Regions from separate parts of the Mus musculus genome. Here regions 1, 2, 3, 5 and 6 are each reported to be linked to region 4. Evidence: microRNA targets listed by miRTarBase, many of them from high-throughput screens and not tested one by one. Region 4 holds a microRNA gene; each other region holds the end of a gene's coding sequence.

Region 1 (3,103 bases), not on the chromosome of region 4:
GAGATTGAACCTATGAAATCTCTCTGAGATGTCATGATTACTTAACCAATACCTTTTATTTGACAAAACCACATGGGCACATCTGCTTCTGTTCCTTTTAGGTCAGCCTGGATTCTCGAGTTAGAGAGGTGATCAACAGGAGTCTGCTGGACCCCAGCCCACACATGTATGAAGACGCCCAGCTTCAGATCTACACCCTAATGCACAGAGATTCTTTCCCAAGATTCTTGAACTCACAGATCTATAAAGCTTTTGTGGAAAGTACCACCAGCTGTACTTCTGAATCCTAATTTTCAGTTGACAGGCCAAAAAAAAAAAAAAATCCATTTCAGAGGGCTGGGATGGGAAATAAAAGTAATTAAATAACACCAGAAATTGAGTTCCTGAAAAACTACAGGTTGACTGCTGGGGAAATACAATGAGGAAGGTCTCTTGTCTCCATTTTTATCAAGGTTATCCATGATTCTGTTTGGGGCAACAACAACAAAAAAAGCCTATATGAGACAATGAATTGCCAAATTAAGTTTGTTTGATTCAACACTTGCTCTACTTGCAAGCAAATTGTGTTCCTAGTCCTCTGAACAATCCCCTAGTGCATCTCTAGAGGCCGCATGTGCAAAGTAAAACTGCTTCGTCTGCCCTTTACTTGTGCTATTAAATCAGTAGCATACCTTGTATCTGTATTTAAGGACTTTTGTGCAATATGGTCTCTTAGAAACAATTGCCAACAAATTGGCCGTGGTTTGCATTTTTTAAAAGCATAATCCAATACACACAAAGGCTATTTTAAACATGTAACAGTGATATTTAACCATGCTACATACTGTGTTTAGTATACCGTCTCTGAAGCCAATTTTTCTGTACATGTTTAAAAAAAATAGAAGCTGTTAAAGGATCTTACTGTGTGAGCCCTCTGGTTGTTCACTGCCCAAATTCTGGCATTTTTGTTACAGAAGAGTTTACTATATAAGAAAGAAAGAAAGAAAGAAAGAAAGAAAGAAAGAAAGAAAGAAAGAAAAGAAGAGAAAAAAAGGAAAGAAAGGAAAAGAAAGAAAGAAGGAAAGAAGAAAAAGAAAGAGAGAGAAGACAAAACTTTATGATAAGAAAAATTTTAATAAGCACAAAACAATCTGCAGATATCCTGTCTCATTGAAAATTCCAAGAGTGATACTGTTTTTAGGTCTGAAAGAAGAAAAGAGTCTATGTATATATGAAATGTCCAGTACTATAATTGAGTTATTAAAGAATGGCTCCTCAGTTCTAAAAGAGTGATGCAAACCTCTGAATGTCAGCAGGTAAACAATAATAAGTTCGATAATCCAGTTTGGGAATATAAAGGGAAAAGAACTAGTAAAGGAATGCCTACATGTAGCACTGTCAAAAGCATAGTGAGGAATTGCATCTGACTTGTGGCGTATTCACCTTGAACATATAATCCAGTGAAAAGCTTAAGTTTTTCCTAAGTAACACTTTATAAAGAATTACAAAGAAGAAAACCTTCAATGTCAGACCTTAACTGTTTTCACATAGTCTCTCAAGAAAGACTTATTTTAACATTGTTAAAAACAAACTCTTAACCCTCATCCATAATTAAAAGGCAGTACAGTGCTCAAACCTTCTAGCTGCCAATATTATTTTTTTATAATTACATTAACTCTTTACATGAAATACTCCCCTGACCACAGCATGTATTTATGACCTTCTGAACAGTATCGTCTTGTGCACAAAACCAAAATTACAATCAATGTCATATTTATATCAAGGTCTTACCTTTCAATATCAAAATCCCCTGGAGCCTATTTTTTTAATCTTAAACTCAATGAGTATATGTTGAGTAACCTTTAAAAATGAAAGATTTAAAAAGATTTATATCCACTGAGAATACAGGCCTTATATTAAGGATGATATTAAAATTATAGGTTTTATTTGTCATTTTTAACTACCTCTCATATTTTTAATTTATTAAACATATTTTTTTAAAGCACAAGTTTGGAGTTTTCTTTTTAACTTTATTTTACTTGAAAGGTTGGCATCATGTTTCTTTTTCCATAAATTTAAAACATTTCAAGAATTGTTTTTTAAGTGAATATGATTTTCTAATTTATATAGAATTCAGGAGCTATGATTCAAAGGGCTATTACATATTCCCTATGCAAATATTTTAACTGTTGCAGTGTTTGACAAAATGGGATTTTAAAAAAACAATTTGCAGAGTGGAAAAACAAAACGTTGTGTTTACACTGGCGCCGCTGACTATCCTACCATGCTCAGCACTTTTAAATACATTATTTATGACAATGTAGTTTAAATGCAAGATATTTATAATATTCATCTTTTAAAAAATGCCTGTGGATTTTTTTTTTTCCTGAAAGTGTTAGTGTGTTTAAGATACGCTTTGCTTATGTCACCTAGATGTTTACTATTTGAATAGTTTTGGTAATCTGTTGAGAAAAAAAGATAGTTATGAAGATGTTTACAAAAATATAATCCTATTTTTTCCTAAAGAGTCAAGAAAACGTAAAAGCATCATGGCTTCTATTGTGAAGTCCCACCGTTCTGAATGATTTGATTCTTTCCTTGATTAGTGTTGATTATGCTAATAGGATGTATACACATGTATAGTGTACCATCATCCTCGTTCTGTGTTTGGGGCACAATGAGTTGGTGCACATGACCAGGAAAAATGTAATATATTACCACACCCTGCATGCATGATTGTTTTCGATGTAGACTTTATTATATCCCTGTTCCATGGATGCCAGTGACTGACTGTCACAGGCGATCTTTACAATACGCTCTGGACTATTGGGCGAGCTGTCTGTGTGACAATGCATTTAATATTTTACCAAATGGAAGAGATAAGGCTCCTTGAGAGAGTCCTCATCTCTAACCTAGGCATTTGCAGTGTTTGATTTCAAAGTTGCTGTGTCTTTGGAACCTGTGTACAAGGAGGTTCCAAAGCTGATTTGCACAGTCCCTGCCATTAGCCATTGCTATGTGAGCAGTTCTATGCTAAATTCATATTTCAGGGGGATGGCTTCTTAGTTCACTTGAGAATGTTTCAAGTTTTGAAGAGTGTGTCTGTGGACTTGTGACTATGCCA
Region 2 (3,095 bases), not on the chromosome of region 4:
AGTTTTGAGCCACCATCTGGGTGCTGGAAACCAGGTCCTCTGAAAGAGCAGCCATTGCTCTTACCTACTGAGACATTTCTTCAGCCCTTGTTTTGAAATTTTTCATTAAAAAAATAATAAACCTGAGAAATAAAAGAGGGAAGATGCAGGTGAACCCCCCCCCCCCCCAATGCTCCTAACCCCTCTGTGTTGGGCACCTTATCCATGTCCCTCTTTGGGCTGAGACCCTGGATGGACAACACAGCACTGTTGCATTGTGTGACATTCGTAGTTACTGCCAGCAGCAGGCTATACCCTGTGTGGGTGTGAACCCAGAGTCTGACTGTTATCTCTACTGCTGTAGTGTCGCCAGTACTGTGAAGCACGCCTTGTCTATCTGGCTCAGCATCATCGTTTTTGGAAACAAAATCACTAGCCTGTCTGCCATTGGCACCATCCTTGTCACATTGGGTGTCTTGCTCTACAACAAGGCCAGGCAGTATCAGCAGGAGACTATGCAGAGTCTGGTCACAGCCACCAGCCGAAACCCAGAAGATGACACAGAGCCCCTTGTTCCCCAGGACTCTAGACAGCACCACTGATCACCTGATGCTGTGTAGATCCAGGCCTAGATGTTCCTTCTGTACTAGAGGGAAATGATGCAGGGCAGGTCTCTCGCTCCTTCCTGGAAATCAGATGGGGAATTTGGGACTCAGCTTCTGCCTGGCAGAGCACCACAGGACCAAATGATCTACAGCTTCCCTGGCTGCAAGTGAACCAGTGTCTCCGTGCCCAGCCTGCACTGTGGAATAAGCACAGGCTCCAGGATCAACCCGAGTTGCTGTCTGTTTGATGCCATCCAGGAGACCTAAACTTTTCTATCACCACCACCACCACCACCACCACCACCATGGAAGCCTCTTGGTTCTTGACAGTCTATGAAACAGACATTCCAGATGCCAATGACTCTAGCATGGAGCCATAAAACCCAGAGTAGCAGGCAGAAGAGACAAGTTTCTCCTGCCACGGAGAGACAGTGCTGTGTGAAGGAGAAGTGTCTCCTCCTTGGCCTGTGCTACATTGAACTACCCTGCTCCAGGGTTGTTGTCCCATGTTTCTGCTACCATTTTGTGATTGCCCATTCTGGGAAGTTGGCAGCAAATCTCTAATTCAAGCAGATGGTCTGGAGTGCTTTTCCATTTTAAGTATGTGAATGTGAAGCGGGCGATTCTGAATGGCACAGTGGCTGCCCTATGAAGATTTCCCTTCAGGATGCTTGATAGGGACGTTCTGACGAGCATTTGAGTGTTTATAGGCTATGCTGTAGTTAAAGGGACACTTCTTTTTGATGTAGCAGGTGCCTGTCGAGGTTTCTCTGTGTCTCCATGTAAGGTACATCAAAGTGTACATGCACAACTAACTCTTCACCAGGGATCATATGATGACTGCCTGAGCCACCAGGTCTCCAGAGCTTAAGGTGGAGTGGAGGACAACAGTGGGCCTTGGGTTAACACGCTGAGGTTCTACATTATTCGGCATTTTGTGAGTTGTGTGTGGGGTGCAGTCTGTTGCTAGCCAGTCTCTAAGACTCCATTACTTACAAGCTGCAGCCACTGGCACTCCTTGTCCAGGTCTCACTGGTCCTCCCTGCTCTAAGTCTTTCGTGCACATGGTGGTTCAAAAAGATAATGGGGTGAAAAAGAGCAATAATTATGTCTACATTTTATTTACTTGAAAAAGCCATCTGCCATGATGATGGATCAAAATGAGGCCTTTTAATCCATAAGCCAACTTTTAAAAGAAGCTGATGTGTGCTGGACATCAGCTAGGTGTATCTTTACTATGCTATGTAAAGATATTGTGAAGATGTTCTCTCATTTGACTTTGCCCAGGTTTCTAGTTCCTTCCTCTTTGCTCTTCTCAAAATAAAGATCCAGTGGAGGACAGATGGCAGACGTTGGATTAATCTGTGTAGACCTGTCTGCTCAAGATCTGGCTGTGGAGCTGCTGACACCGAAGAGCACGTGCTTGTGGGTATTGGTTGGCAGAGCTCTTCTGGCCTTCCCGCAGACCTGTCTAAGTATGCTCAGAGCTCTACATGCCTGGCTTCTTACTATTATTTGGAATTTCTGCCTGTGTCCTATGTTTAATTAGGAAATGACCTATTGTGACTTGCTCTGGCCATCCCTCCCCCATGTCACAAGACTCAGCTTGTTTTGATTTTCTTAAGGTTTGGGCTAGAAACAAAAACAAAGATTTTTCTTAAAGCAATTTTCTCTAAAGCTGCTTTGAGACTTTTCCTCATAGGTGGAAAGATCATGGAATCAGCTGCTTCCTTCAGGTCTTCCAGGACAGGGCTGGGTTGAGAATCGTGGAACGGCCCTGCTTGACCATTTGTTATGACTATACCATAACAATACATTTTTAATTGACTTTGTTAGTACTTTCATAGAATACTATGTTCTTCATGAATTGTTACTGATGTAAATGTACAAATATTGACACCACGTGTCATTCCTTGTCCTGGATAATTCCTCCTGAGTTTATGTCATTGTCTGGTCTGTTGTAAACAGAACACTGGATTGACCTTCTGAGCCAGCTAGCTGCTTACTCACTGCACGCATAGTTAAAAGATATACACATTTCTAATTTCAAAAATAGTTCTAGGAGCTACAGAGATGGCCGAGTGGTTATGTTTCTTGCTGAGGACCCAAGTTCAGTTCCCAGAACTCATGTAGAGTGTTTCACCAACTTCCTATAACTTCAGCATTAGGGATTCTAATGCCTCTGGCTTCTCTGGGCATCTGCACACTGGCTTGTGTATGAACACACACACATATACACACACACATATATCTTAAAAATAAGTACATTTGCTAGGGGAGGTGGTGCAAGCCTTTAATCCCAGCACTTGGGAATCAGAGGCATGTGGATCTCTGAGTTTGAGGGCAGTCTGGACTACAGAACAAGTTCCAGGACAGCCAGGGCAACACAGAGAAAAGCCTGTCTTGAAAAACCAGATAAATAGATAAATAAAATTTAAAAACGTCCATGATTTGGGGTATACCTTAGTGGCACATCACTGGCATGTATTGTGAAGCTCTTGGGTTGATCAC
Region 3 (3,103 bases), not on the chromosome of region 4:
GCTGATGACTTGCTGCCCATCCTGTCCTTCGTGGTGCTGAGAAGCGGCCTCCCCCAGCTGGTGTCAGAGTGTGCGGCCCTGGAAGAGTTCACTCATGAGGGGTAGGAAGGGGCCCAGGCTAGTGGGTGACTAGGAGGCTGATGTGGGGGAAGGGTCTCTGTGGGAAGAGCTGGGGACAGAGCAGCTCTGACAAGGGGGGACAAGGGAACCTCACCCCCCCCAGTACAAAAGCAATGGCTATAGTAAGCCGTGGAAGCCACAAGGGGGCCCGCAGCACCACCGCCACTTTCGGACATCCCTCTGAGATCCACTGTGCATGGGACACTCTTACCCGCATGCTCTGTAGCCTTCAGAGGACCCTGTGCAGGAGCCAGAGGGTGTCTCTGATCAGCATCTGCCCGGGGAAGAGCAGTATGCACCACAGGGCCATCACAGGACCTGGACTGACAGTGGGGAAAGGTCCGCCCTGACCCAGCTCTCTAGCAACTCTACCCGTGACCGAGTCATTGCCCAAGCAAGAAGGGAAGATGTTGCCCTCTGGCGGCCTAGGCTTGTCCATCTGTCCTCTCAGTCGACACGTCCTTCCCCACTCCACACAGGTACTTGATTGGAGAAGAAGGGTATTGTCTGACATCACTGCAGAGCGCCCTGAGCTATGTGGAACTTCTGTCCCGGGGACGGCTGGACAAGTAGTGGTGGCTGGACCTCACAGACCAAAGGAGCCACGGGACCTCCACGCTGCACTGCATATCTGGTGTGGGGACACTGAAGGCCAGCTTGCTGTGGTAGCACTCTATAGCACTTGCTCACCTTCTTTACCATGCATCTGTCCTGGAGGCCTAGGACAGTGCCTCTTTAACAGGGCATGGCTGGCTGAGTCAGGCCTGCCCCAGACCCCATAGGAGAAATCTAGCTGCCGTTCCCTGGGGAGCCTGCAGCACTGATTGATGGCTCTGACCTCTTCTCATGGACACTAGGCAGCCCCCACTGGGGTATCAGCACAGAAATGGGTATTGGGAACCTTGCCGGGCCAATCTAGTTTTACATGCCTCCAGTCTCCTGAGACAGCCCAAGTTTGTGTGAGCCAGTTTCTTGTTAGTCACAAGTGGGCTTTACCCTGCCCCCAGAGAACTGGGTGTAGGTAGTGTGAGGCTGTACTGTTTATTTACCAGGTAGCAACTGCCCTGTTTGCTTTTGCTGGCCCGGGTGTCACTGCCCAGGCCTGGGTTATGAGCCTTTCTCCTACCAAGGTCCAGGACATCCTGCCCTGGGCTTATCTTGGTTGGGGACAGTGAAATATGTTCAGGACACTGGCTAACAAATACAGTTGTACAGACTCTTCAATGTCAGAGTCTAGAGGTCAGCCCCTAGACTGTTATATGTCTCCAAGTGGCTACCAACTCAGCCTAAAATAAAGAAGTCACTCTACCGAAGTCCATGTGACTTGTTCGTTTACCCACTAGGCAGCCAAGACTCAGGCAACACAGCCAGCCTCCTAGAGATCACAGCTGACAGCCCAACCCCAGATCCTCTGCACAGAAGCAGTCTCTTCCCAGGGCTGTTCCCAGCCAGGAAATTGTGGACTTCCCCGCTCTGGGATAGCAAGTGTCTGCAGGGTACCATTAGGACGGCTGGAATTGAGTCATTACTGTAGTCCTGAGCCCACAGCAGTTCCCTGAAGGCGCCTGAGTAATCTTCAGCCTACTCTCACACACAATGGACTGTCCCACACAGCGATGCCCTTTGGTTCTGCTGGGGCCCTAGGGTGATGCTGGCATCCGAGCACAGGCAGCATCTTCCACGGAGGCGAGCTGACCCACCCAAGAAAGGAAATACCCATGGCAGCTGGGGTTGCTGTGAGGAGGTGGTGGCAGGACACGGGGGAGTTTCCAGTCCCAGACGGCAGTAGTAGTGGGGTCGTTGGAGCCTCTTGGAGTCAGGCTAGATGTAACTTGGTTATTGGGCATTTATTGAACACTTGTGTTCCAACCTGCAAGGAAATGGAGAACATGCATCTTGGAGCCTCGTAGGCTGACCTCAGAGTCCAGTCTGCAAATGGTGCAAGAGAAGCCTGAGGCCATGACACCAAAAGCAAGTGGTGGGCCCAGGTCAGCCTGGGCACGACACCCATTCCTGGGGCATTTGACCTATGGTCGCGATCTCTGCGGATTGGGAATGGGCCGGAAGCCCCCAGCAGCTACTTCCCACTCACCTGCGTCAGGAATAGCACAGACTCGGGTCTCAGCTAGGCCAGAGAAATGTCTCAGTAGTTAAGAGCACTTGCTGGGCAGTGGAGGCGCACTTGGGAGGCAGAGGCAGGTGGATTTCTGAGTTCGAGGCCAGCCTGGTCTACAAACTGAGTTCCAGGACAGCCAGGGCTGCACAGAGAAACCCTGTCTCAAAAAATGAATGAAAGATGAATGAATGTTAAAACAGATACCGTGTGTCTCAGCTGACTTGGATCGTCGGCACTGTCGGCTCCTCGAGGCTCGTGCTCTGGTGAGGTGTAGAGACCTTGGACGGGAATGCCAGGGGACTACTGAGTTTTATGGTAATGGACCTGCTGCAGGCTTCCGCTCTGACTTTCTTTTTTTTTTTTTAAGATTTATTTATTTATTATATGTTAGTACACTGTAGCTGTCTTCAGACACTCCAGAAGTGGGAGTCAGATCTCGTTACAGATGGTTGTGGATGGTTGTGAGCCACCATGTGGTTGCTGGGATTTGAACTCCAGACCTTTGGAAGAGCAGTCGGGTGCTCTTACCCACTGAGCCATCTCACCAGCCCCTGCTCTGACTTTCAAGTCAGTTTTAAGGCCCCACTTCACAGAACCAAGGTTACTGGGTTAACGTAAATCCCAGTTCTGAGAGTACCTGTTGGGTTGGGATAAAATCAGAACATACTGCGGCACACCCTGGGAGAGACCACGCAGTGCTGCTCAGCTGACCATGGCACTAAGATGAAGCCAGTTGTGCAAGCGATGCTCCTCTGTGTGTGTACATGTGTGCGTGCATGCGTGCGTGCGTGTCAGAATCATTTTTTGTATATAACTGAAACTCATAATTCAAAATTCACTTTGCCTGTGAATTTCTTTTTTTGTTGT
Region 4 (3,093 bases):
TTGCCAACCCCAGAACTCTAATCTTAGTAACTGAAGAGGATTTATAGAGAAACCTTGTTTAATGTCTCCTAAACTATAAGAAACAAAATTTATATTACCAAGCTATACCCATGTTTTAAAAAAAAAAACTTTTAAGAACTTTAAATGTGGTTTTTGATGTTTTGTTTGTTTTTCCCCCTTGGGGGTGGGGGGTTGATTGGCTAATTTTTTTCTAGACAGGTTGTTTTTGTGTTTTTTTTTTTTTTTTTTTTTTTTTTTGTAGCCCTGGCTGATGTGGAACTGCTGTGTAGACCAGGCTGGCCTGGAGCCGGGAGATCCACCTGCCTCTGCCTCCCAAGTGCTGGCATTAAGTGCTTGACTAAGAACTCTGTATTCTTATACTTGGGTTTTCCAAATTTAATGTTAAGTTAAAGATGTTAGCAAAGTAAAAATGAATTAACAAAAGTTCAATTGAATTAGGCAGTAAAGTATCTAGAAGATAAAATAATTTGGGCAGGAAACATAACTAAAGACACAATGTAAAGGCTTTTAAATGTTATTTCTCTATAGGTGACATTAGTCACTGCATTTTAAAAGGCCAGCTATATATTTGATTTCAAGCGTCACTGATTGAATATAGAAAAATGTATGTTATCTAGAAAAATATTCAAATGGTGAGATTTTAGCTAATAATCTAAATTTAAAAGCATGTGGGCTATTTGGTGTAAAGAGAAGTAAGTGGTGCTAGAGATGTGAGTCAGATGAGGATTTAACTTTTTCATCCATTAAAGAAAGTACAGGAGCTGGAGAGATGGCTCAGCGGCTGAAAAGAGCACTGGCTGCTCCTCCAGAGAACACAGATTAGATTCTCAACACCAACAGGGCGGCCCCCAAAAGCCTGAAACTCCAGTTCCAGGCGATCAGAAGCCCTCTTCTGAGCTCCGCGGACACCACGCACACACGTGATGCACAGATATAAGTGCAGGTAAATAAACACAAGGTAATAAAAATGAGTTTCAAAAGAACACTCTTTTAAAAAGAACTGCAAGCTTTGGGTTAGAGCTTTAAGGGGCAGAAATACTATATTGGATCCAGCTTTTAGTAGCTGTCTTGAAGACACCTCCTTATCCACCAGATGGCACTATTTCCACGTCTTTGCATGCTTCTGAGTGCAGCAGAGGGTAGTGCAGCTAGCAACTGTTGGGATAAAGTTCTAACAGCCAGCTAGCAATGCACTGCCTGCCTGACACACCCACACTTCATCCTCTGTGGAGCCGGACACTGGGAAGCGCCCGCTAAGCAGGTATAAGTAGCTACATCAGTTGTGAGAATCCATTTCTTAAGTCTTCAGATTCTGTAAAGGTTTTTAATTTGTATTAATTCTCCCATAATTCCTGCAAATGCCTTCTATAGCAAGAATTAATTTGCTCGAGATCAGAATGAAGACAGAAGGGCAAGCCCAGAAAACTCACCTTGGGGGAACCTTGATTTCGCTGCTGCTTCATGCCGTTGGCGAGCACCCGCATGATGTTCTCCTTTGGAAATAGATTAACATAAGAAGGGAGAAAACTCTAGGAAAATCGTCACGGAGAGTGGGGAATTGTTTTGAATCCTGGGTTTGCTGATTCACTCATTCTTTCTAAAGCAACCAGGTATCTCCAGAACTTAAATTTCACACCGTTCAAAATTTAAACTAGGCTGTAGAATTTCATGGCATCTTTTGGTCCTTACTGGGTATTACAAACCGTACCTTCTGCAAGAAGCCCCATGGGAGGGTTGGGTCAAGAAAGAAAAGGATGGTACGCACCCACAACATCTCTTCTTCCGTCCGGATCTTCCTCCGGGCGGTGCGTTGCAGTTTCCACTCCATCTCCGAGTGAGTGCGCTGTTCCTGGACGCCTTGCCTCTCCCCCTCAGGGGCTAAGCAGGACCACGACTTCCCAAACCGCTAGCCTCGTCCCCCTAAACCCATCAAACCTGCCCTCCTACCCCCGAGACCCTCGCTCCTCCCACAGCTCCTGGAGCGTATTCCCCAGGGTAACCTTTAAAAAGCCCGCGGGGCGGCAATCAAAGCGGGAACCTCCTTCCGTCGGTCCCGCCACAGGCCAGCGCCTCGATGACGTCAAGTCTGGGGTGTCGGGGTGCTCGCTCGGGTCCCGCCCTCCTACCCGCGCCCCCGCACTGGGCCTCCCGAGCGGCGCGCGCCGCAGCGCCAAGCTTTGCCGCGAGCAGTGGCGGGCCTGAGCCTCCTGCCCGAGCCCGCAGGAGGTGCGGAGTCGGCGGGTAGAGAAGCGGGGTTTTTGGAGTTCACTGTTGTTTTCAAAAGCAAAAACGTTTCGTCCTAACTGACTCTAATCCTTTTTTTCCGTTCCCCTCTCCTTTTCTTCAACCCCACCCTGATTATCAAATTTGGACGCGTGCAGTAATTCTCACCCTTCTGTTTACTGCTTAGTGATAATCGCTTGTGAAAATTCCTGAACGTAAACATGTCTCTCAATGAGCATGTTAACTCCTCTGTCTTCAAACTCAAACTCAAAAAAGGGGGGGGGGGTGTCTAGGCTGCCGAGAAATGCGTTGACATTTCCAATTAATAAATTATCCGCACTGTCCACTTGGGGAATTGGGGAACTGGCCAAGTTCTCTTGCTGGATCTTGGGAGCTACTTCATAAGCAGGAAGTTTGTGAGAGAGGGAAAGAGCCAAGGAAAGCCAGTGAGACAGCTGACCAGGCCTAGGACTGGATCGATCATGAAATTGCTCGAGGGTCTGGAGGGACCTGGAGACGACTGACAGACAGGGAGCCAGATGGGCTGCTCAGCCTTGCCTGCCCATCTGAGCTGCCAAGGCAAGCTGGGCCATATGGCAGGAGACTAAACTGTCTGAGCAACCTAGGAGGTCCAGCAGCCAGGTTCTCTGCTCCCAGGTCCCCATCCCAAAGTGACAGCAGATTGCATTTTAACTCTAATAAGTTGTTTTGTGCATGCTGGGGCTAGGAGATTCAAACTGCTCAATAACTTAAGCCCACTCTAGTACGTCTGAAAATTCAAGAAATACCGGCTTCGTAGCAACCCAGCTCCCAGTGTTCCAATGACAACGGTTGAAAATGTGTGCTGGT
Region 5 (3,090 bases), not on the chromosome of region 4:
AAGCCAGCTGTTTATTTTCCTAAGAACACAGAACTTAAAACAAATAACATGTGAAAAGTGTGTCCCACAGTGGTTGAAGGGTTTCAAGTCAGGCAAGGCAAACTCAGAAAGCAACAATAGGAAGAAACCATGTTCCCTTCCTGTCTTTTTCTTTTTTTCCTCTAAGAAAGTTCTTAAGTGCTTAGTAATAAGAAAGGAAATGAAACTAGCGTTCTTCCTGTCCATGTCACATTGAACAGCCTAATACTCAGGAGATAGAGAGAAACACAGAGTGTGTCCCCATTTAATGTAATTGAAGCTTTCAAATTAGCACAATTAAAAATTACCTAGAAAGAAGTACCTACAGCAATGGGAGAACTACCAAACACCAAATGAGCCACTTCTAAATAAAATAACCCACTTGTAAAAAAAAAAGTGTATTTGCTAGTTAAATTTAAGTGCAGACAACAGAAGATCTGGGCTACTTCTAAGACGAAGGACAAGAAGGCATCCTCCAAGAGAAACCCTTCGTGTAAACTGTGTAGGGGTGCTTATGGACAGTGCTAGGCACAGGGGTTTCTCATAAGCACACGATGGGCTGGTTTTAGTACAAGTGCAGAGTTAATGCCTTAAAGGCTAGATGTAAGTATTTGTAGGAGGGAAGCATTATTGCTGGAGGTCTATTCTGGACAATCCCATATTCACTGTGGATTACTAACTACACCATAGTTTTCATTCCAGAGGAAATGTGCCTTGTGCCTCCTTCATTATGGCAGGCAGTCCTTAGTGCTGCATAGCCAGCCTCTGTTGGAGACAGGAACGTCCGTGACAACTCTGCCATGATGACTCAGTACTAATATATGCAGGTGACTGTAGAATACCTGCCTTCCTTGAAATGTGAATAACCAAATGTGACACAAAGAAATAGGGAACGTAGCCTATACTACTGTAGTCTGAAACAGGAGCCTCAGCTACTTACACATTCTGAGTCTACACAGGACTACTAGTGAACAGCTCTTAAAACTACTACAGCAATAATCTCACAAAGCATACATTCAAACAAGAGGCATCTAAAGATTAAAAAAATTATCCACTATATTTCTGTATAAAAATAACCAACATTTTCTAATGTACACAAAGCCAAAAGATAAATTTATCTGTGATGTCTTTGTGACATCTTTTAGTCTTCTACTAACTCAACCCAATCTCTGAAAAGCGCCATAAAGATGACTGAGCTCAGACTCTGCTGTCTTTTCCATCTGTGCCAAGGCTATGCACATGTCCCTTCATTTGTTCAGAGTTCTCAAACATGTAGCAAAAAGATAGAGAAAGCAAACAATGTCAGCAAATCTTTTGATGCCCAGCACTACAAAGATTTCAGAGCATCCACAGAAAAATTTGGCTTAGTGTCCTAACAGAAAACTGTTGAATAAAAACTTCTGATTAAGAGAAATCACTTTAAATACTTCGTGGGAAGAATCCACAGCCTTAGTAAGGGAGAAAGAACTGCATTCTAGCCAGACTCAGCAGGGTTGCTTCAAGGAAGGGATTCCACCTCCACTGCCACTGGGCTGCTGAAAGAGGCTCCGAGGCATGGCTGCATCAAGCACCATCATCGGTGCACAGAACAGAGTCAGGAAGAGGTGACAATGGGCCAGGGCCACACCAGAGTCACATGGTCTGTGAGTTAGCCTGGTTTTATAGCCCAGGTTTATGGATTTCCTTTCCTTTCTAGTATACGGTAAAACCAAAACCTGCTTCTGCAGAACTCTGGTGCCACTGGCTAACCCTTCACTGCACATCGCCCTCCTCACAGCCATCACTTAAGTATGCCTCTCTGCTCAGCCAGGCTGCCCACTGTGCTCACTGGCACCACTGGCATCCATAATACATCGTTCCTGGTGACAGAGGGGCATCCTATGTACTGTAGGGTAGTCAGCAACATCTCCACTGGCTGTCACACCTCAGTTCCTATAACCACCCTCACAAAACTCAAGCCCAAGCCATGGCAACCAGAATGTGTCTAGATATTGCCAATTGTCCCCTGGAGGACAAGTTCTCCACTGAGAACTATTGCTCTTAATGTACAAACCAGGAGGAAAATTGTCAGTCATGCCAACCTGGGTAAAGGCTAGACTAGAGACTCTTGAGAACTTCAAAAATACTGTTTATGCTAAAACACAATCCCTTTTCACAGCCAAAGCATTTGTCTGGAAGATACGCTTTTTAAAACAGACTGGCATTTCATTGCATTCAGTTCTGTCAATGGGCTCCTAAATTATCCTATATCTCTATGACAACATTTAGAAAACTAACTGGGTAGGAAAACGTATAAGAAAAGAGAATTAAAGGAGGGGGAGTGTAAATCAATAATTATTTTTAAAAGGTTTTTTTATATTAATGATAAACATTACCTTTAAAAAATTATCTAGTATAACATGTTTCTTTGAAAAATATGGGCCTCTGTAACAAGTCTTTCAGTGTAGCATGTAAGTGGTAAAATTAATGTCACCGATGTTCACTAATTATGAAAATGTATGATGAGTTAGGACATCTGAAGAGAAACGTCGGCACTGGCCGTGGCGGTCCCAGTGCACTCGGCCTTCCTCCATCAGTCTGATATTCTCAGGAGAGAATCCCAGCGAGGCTTTACCTTCACCTTGTGAGAGGAATGGGCTGAGAAGCACAAAGCCTCGCTCCTGTTAAGAGTCCTTCAGAGAGTTGATGCGTGCACAAATCTTCAGGGCTGGGCCCAGCTTCATGTTCATTGCACTCATGAGATGGTCTTCTTTTAGCAAGAGCAGGGCCTGCCCATCAATCTCTTGTGCCCTGAACTCATCTGCAACGTCCTGGCAGCCTGGAATTCCATGAGAAGACAGAGTTACACACAATTAGAGTTCTGTTGTCACTGGGTGTGAGAGCTCACAACAGAGGCTGAGAAGCCAATGTGCTACAAGGCCTGGAGCTCACCCTTGAAGAAGTCAAAAAACCATTACACAAGAGGAATCAGGCAACATATCCTATTTCTCATGCAAAAGAACTGCATTGCTAGGTTTTACACCTCATGGACTCATCTTTGCATAACATAGTTCCACATACAGGGAGAGAGGA
Region 6 (3,103 bases), not on the chromosome of region 4:
GTTTAACAATGAGACCCACTATACCAGGAAATGAAACAAGCAGACAAGACAATGACATCCTTTGTATGTTTAATATGGTACAGCAGGATTTTTCCAAACCAGAGCTGATGTCCTTGGCTCTGGGCACACCTCCTTCCGGTGGTCCAAAGGACATCCTCTAATATAATACTTAAGATGACTCTTCACTTCTCTGACAGTGACTTCTTGAAGTGAATATATAATAAATAAATAGAAAATATACCTTTGTTCATGGTGACACTTTTAAGGAACATTTACATACAAAACATGCTATGCATCCAATTCACAAGAAAGAGCCAGCTATTAAGCCAACAGGACAGATGAGCCTTTCAATCAAAGGCCCCTGACTCAGTGACAATGCTGACCAACAGAAAGGACAAGAGCAACTTTCTAAGCAAGAAAGACTTTTGTGCTACCAAGAAAATGCCTGTATATCGACTCTTGGTGAATAGTTTAGGAAAGAACGCTTTCCGTACAGAACCTGTACTGTTCAACATATGTACAACTCAGAGAACTTTCCAATAGGTATTTGCTGAAATGAACTGAGCCAAAGACATTCAACATTCATGGCCACCTGAAAGTGATCGAGTCTTAAGTGGTTCACAGTGTGAGACCCTCGCCTTGAAAAGTCAATGAAACTTAGACAAGAAAAACATGAGGTCACTTTTATCCCCTCCCCCTCCCCCTCCCCCTCCCACTCATCTCCCCAGAAGAGGTCTTTTCTCTGACACTCGCAACTGGAGCCACTATGTCTTAAGAGGCATGGTCCCACAGACACATCCCAGCAGCTGCAAGATCCATTAGTAGGAAAGACCCCCTGCGAGTTGGCTCAACCTGGAGAGTAGACTCTGGGACTAAGGCTCCTTAATACCACTGGACAAAGGGGACCGAAGCAAATCTTCTTTGAAAAAGAAAGGTTGTGGTTGTGGAGGAAAGGGGACCAATCTCATTCATGAAACACAGAGAAACCCTGATGTCTCCGAAGAATATTGGACATGGATAGTTTTCACTCGTCTGGGCATCGGAGCTATTTGCTCAGAGTGAACATAAGCTGAAAGATCCTGGTCTGGAGCCAACCACTCTCAGATCCCCACAAGGAGCCAATTGGCCCAGCAGAAGCACATTGGCATATCCTGATGCTACCCATTGGGCATACCAGCACCACTGTGGAATAAGGTGGCACCAAAAGAATTCCACAGTCATGAGCAGCCCATGCCCACATGTGGCTGGCAGTGTAAAGACAGTGGCAGGGCTGCTGCCTAGAGGAGAGTGGGCAGTGTGTACTGAGGGGCAAGAGGGAAAAGCCCTTTGCAAAAGACCGTATATTTTGAAATTGAAAGAACCTAGTGGGGAACCCCCCACTCAATTCCCATTTGGTGCGCACCCAAGAATCACGAACAGCTTCTCCCCATTTCAGGTGATATGCTCCCTTCCGAAAGCTACTTGGGAATACTGGACACCCCAGGCTAGCCACTGAGGCAATGTGGTGTGGCAGTGGGTTGCTGAGCTTGGGGCTCACAGACCTGGCTGTGTTATTGAGTACCATTTTCCTCAGATGTAGGTACAAAATGCTGGGCTAGATGGTCCTCAAGGGCCCCCAAGGTCCTTTCCATCTCTGACACCCCAGGTTCACTGTGGCGAGAGCATGTTCAGATTTCCTGGAGTCTTCTGCTCAGCTCCAAGCTGAAGTGCACTGGAGACCCATTGTACAGCCTCAGGTCTGTGAACTTCACTTCACCCTCTCGCAGAGTCAGAGGGGGCTGGCTGGACACCAATCTGAACGAGGTTCTGTGCATCGTAACTCAGTCCATTTCTCTCCGCAGACCCTGCTTCTCTATCACAAGTGGGTCAGCAAGAGGTGACCTAGCATGACTCAGATGCTGCAAGTGGTGGCAGGAAAGCCTTCACCTCTGAGCCATGCCAGAGGCCACCTCTTCTCTCTTCATCATCTCTGTCCTTGATTCCTGCCAGGACCATCACCTTCCAGAAGAAGCCTTCCCCATGTTTCTGGGTGTGGTGAGGTTCCCCTCCTCCAATCCACCTCTGCTCTCTCAACCTGGTATCAAAGTGTGCTGAGACCTGGCTGCCTGTCACCAGCTGACCCCCAGGTCTGAGCTCTCATCGCTCCATTCTCTGTATCCAGGGCACTCAGTGGAGATGTCAACTACAATGATTACTTCTACTGATGGGCTCCAGGCACAGAGCAAAGCACAGTTGAGTCCTGTAATCTCAGGAAGGACAAACAGGATCCACCTAGTCCCTGTCCCAGTGTGCCAGCTGAAGTCTCTTGAAAAAAGGATCCCCTGTAGACAGGGTTCCATCTCCTCCCCAGTGCAATCTGCCATGCTGGACAGCTCTGTCCATACGCCAGCTCCTAAACTCAGGAAGCCGCACCCTCACTTACAGGAATAAAGATGTACTCCTTCCATCTGCCACTTAATGTATCTGAAAGTGACTATGGAAATCTGCAAGTGGTCACATTATCCAGACCATCTCCTAGGTGGGTTCAGACTCCTGCCCAAGTGGCCCTTTGCTGCCAGCACAACTCAGGTCTCTTTGTATGGTCCCCATGCCTACCGATGAGGCACAGATAGGAGAGAAGCACCCAAGAGGAGGTTGTAGCATCGGCCAACACTGCCCAGGGGCTGCAGGTAGACTTGAGTAGGGGCAGGTGGCAGCACCAAGGTCTCTGATATCTGTCCCTTAGCCCAGCAGAGCTGAGAACCAGGGGGCCTAGCCATCCTGACCCCGGCTGCTGTAGGGGTCCAGCCTGGGGTGGTACCAAGTGGCAACTCTCCTTACAGCTTCTTCTTTCTCACCACAGGGATGGGCACCACTTGGAAGATTTTGGCTTTGTGGTCCTCAGTCTCCAGAGTCACCCAGATGGGTCGGAAGCTGCCTTTGAAGCCGACGAACGCCATCTTTTCTGTAAAAGTGAGGAACCAAGTGGGTGAAAATAATGAAGCTATTAGAGAATTGCTGCAAGCCAGGACTTGGTGCTCCCCTTCAGCATCCTCTGTCCCCAGAGGGCAATCCCTTCCTAGTGACATTGAGCTCTGGCCCTCTAGAGTAAGCTCTCAGCCCA

What was found. The annotated mature microRNA mmu-miR-449c-5p reads AGGCAGUGCAUUGCUAGCUGG and lies in region 4 at 1,200-1,220, opposite strand. An mRNA with a match to its seed (bases 2 to 7 or 8) in the 3' UTR can be bound and repressed. Matches are read on the target gene's strand: a 7mer-m8 pairs with bases 2 to 8, a 7mer-A1 pairs with bases 2 to 7 and ends in A, and an 8mer does both.
Region 1: miRTarBase lists Rgs17 as a target of mmu-miR-449c-5p. Seed matches in the 3' UTR shown: 7mer-m8 at 923-929.
Region 2: the mRNA of Slc35e2 is a reported target of mmu-miR-449c-5p. The part of its 3' UTR that is shown has no 7-base or 8-base seed match.
Region 3: miRTarBase lists Vps9d1 as a target of mmu-miR-449c-5p. Seed matches in the 3' UTR shown: 7mer-m8 at 1,211-1,217.
Region 5: miRTarBase lists Phc3 as a target of mmu-miR-449c-5p. The part of its 3' UTR that is shown has no 7-base or 8-base seed match.
Region 6: miRTarBase lists Cemip as a target of mmu-miR-449c-5p. Seed matches in the 3' UTR shown: 8mer at 1,508-1,515, 7mer-m8 at 1,291-1,297 and 8mer at 1,246-1,253.

The regions. Positions count from the first base shown.
Region 1 is chr10:5,830,140-5,833,242 of GRCm38, reverse strand. Rgs17 (regulator of G-protein signaling 17) reads left to right here. Exons shown (of 5, transcript NM_019958.4): 5 at 102-3,103. The coding sequence ends at 290. Among named protein-coding and RNA genes, the nearest start is that of Mtrf1l, 7.7 kb to the right of the region's middle.
Region 2 is chr4:155,618,169-155,621,263 of GRCm38, forward strand. It overlaps Slc35e2 (solute carrier family 35, member E2), which reads left to right. Exons shown (of 9, transcript NM_177186.4): 9 at 344-3,095. The coding sequence ends at 581. All of the region lies in intron 1 of Gm16023 (predicted gene 16023), which reads right to left. Among named protein-coding and RNA genes, the nearest start is that of Gm16023, 5.0 kb to the right of the region's middle.
Region 3 is chr8:123,240,686-123,243,788 of GRCm38, reverse strand. Vps9d1 (VPS9 domain containing 1) reads left to right here. Exons shown (of 15, transcript NM_028200.2): 14 at 1-101; 15 at 600-1,433. The coding sequence ends at 693. It overlaps 4933417D19Rik (RIKEN cDNA 4933417D19 gene), which reads right to left. Exons shown (of 3, transcript NR_045849.1): 3 at 1,430-1,990. Among named protein-coding and RNA genes, the nearest start is that of Spata2l, 6.0 kb to the right of the region's middle.
Region 4 is chr13:113,034,135-113,037,227 of GRCm38, reverse strand. Mir449c (microRNA 449c) reads right to left here and starts at 1,245; the gene lies at 1,137-1,245. It overlaps Cdc20b (cell division cycle 20B), which reads right to left and starts at 1,849. Exons shown (of 12, transcript NM_001281487.1): 1 at 1,787-1,849; 2 at 1,452-1,514. The coding sequence starts at 1,849.
Region 5 is chr3:30,904,655-30,907,744 of GRCm38, forward strand. It overlaps Phc3 (polyhomeotic 3), which reads right to left. Exons shown (of 15, transcript NM_001165954.1): 15 at 1-2,836. The coding sequence ends at 2,682. Among named protein-coding and RNA genes, the nearest start is that of Gpr160, 50 kb to the left of the region's middle.
Region 6 is chr7:83,932,805-83,935,907 of GRCm38, forward strand. Cemip (cell migration inducing protein, hyaluronan binding) reads right to left here. Exons shown (of 29, transcript NM_030728.4): 29 at 53-2,944. The coding sequence ends at 2,817. Among named protein-coding and RNA genes, the nearest start is that of Gm30440, 36 kb to the right of the region's middle.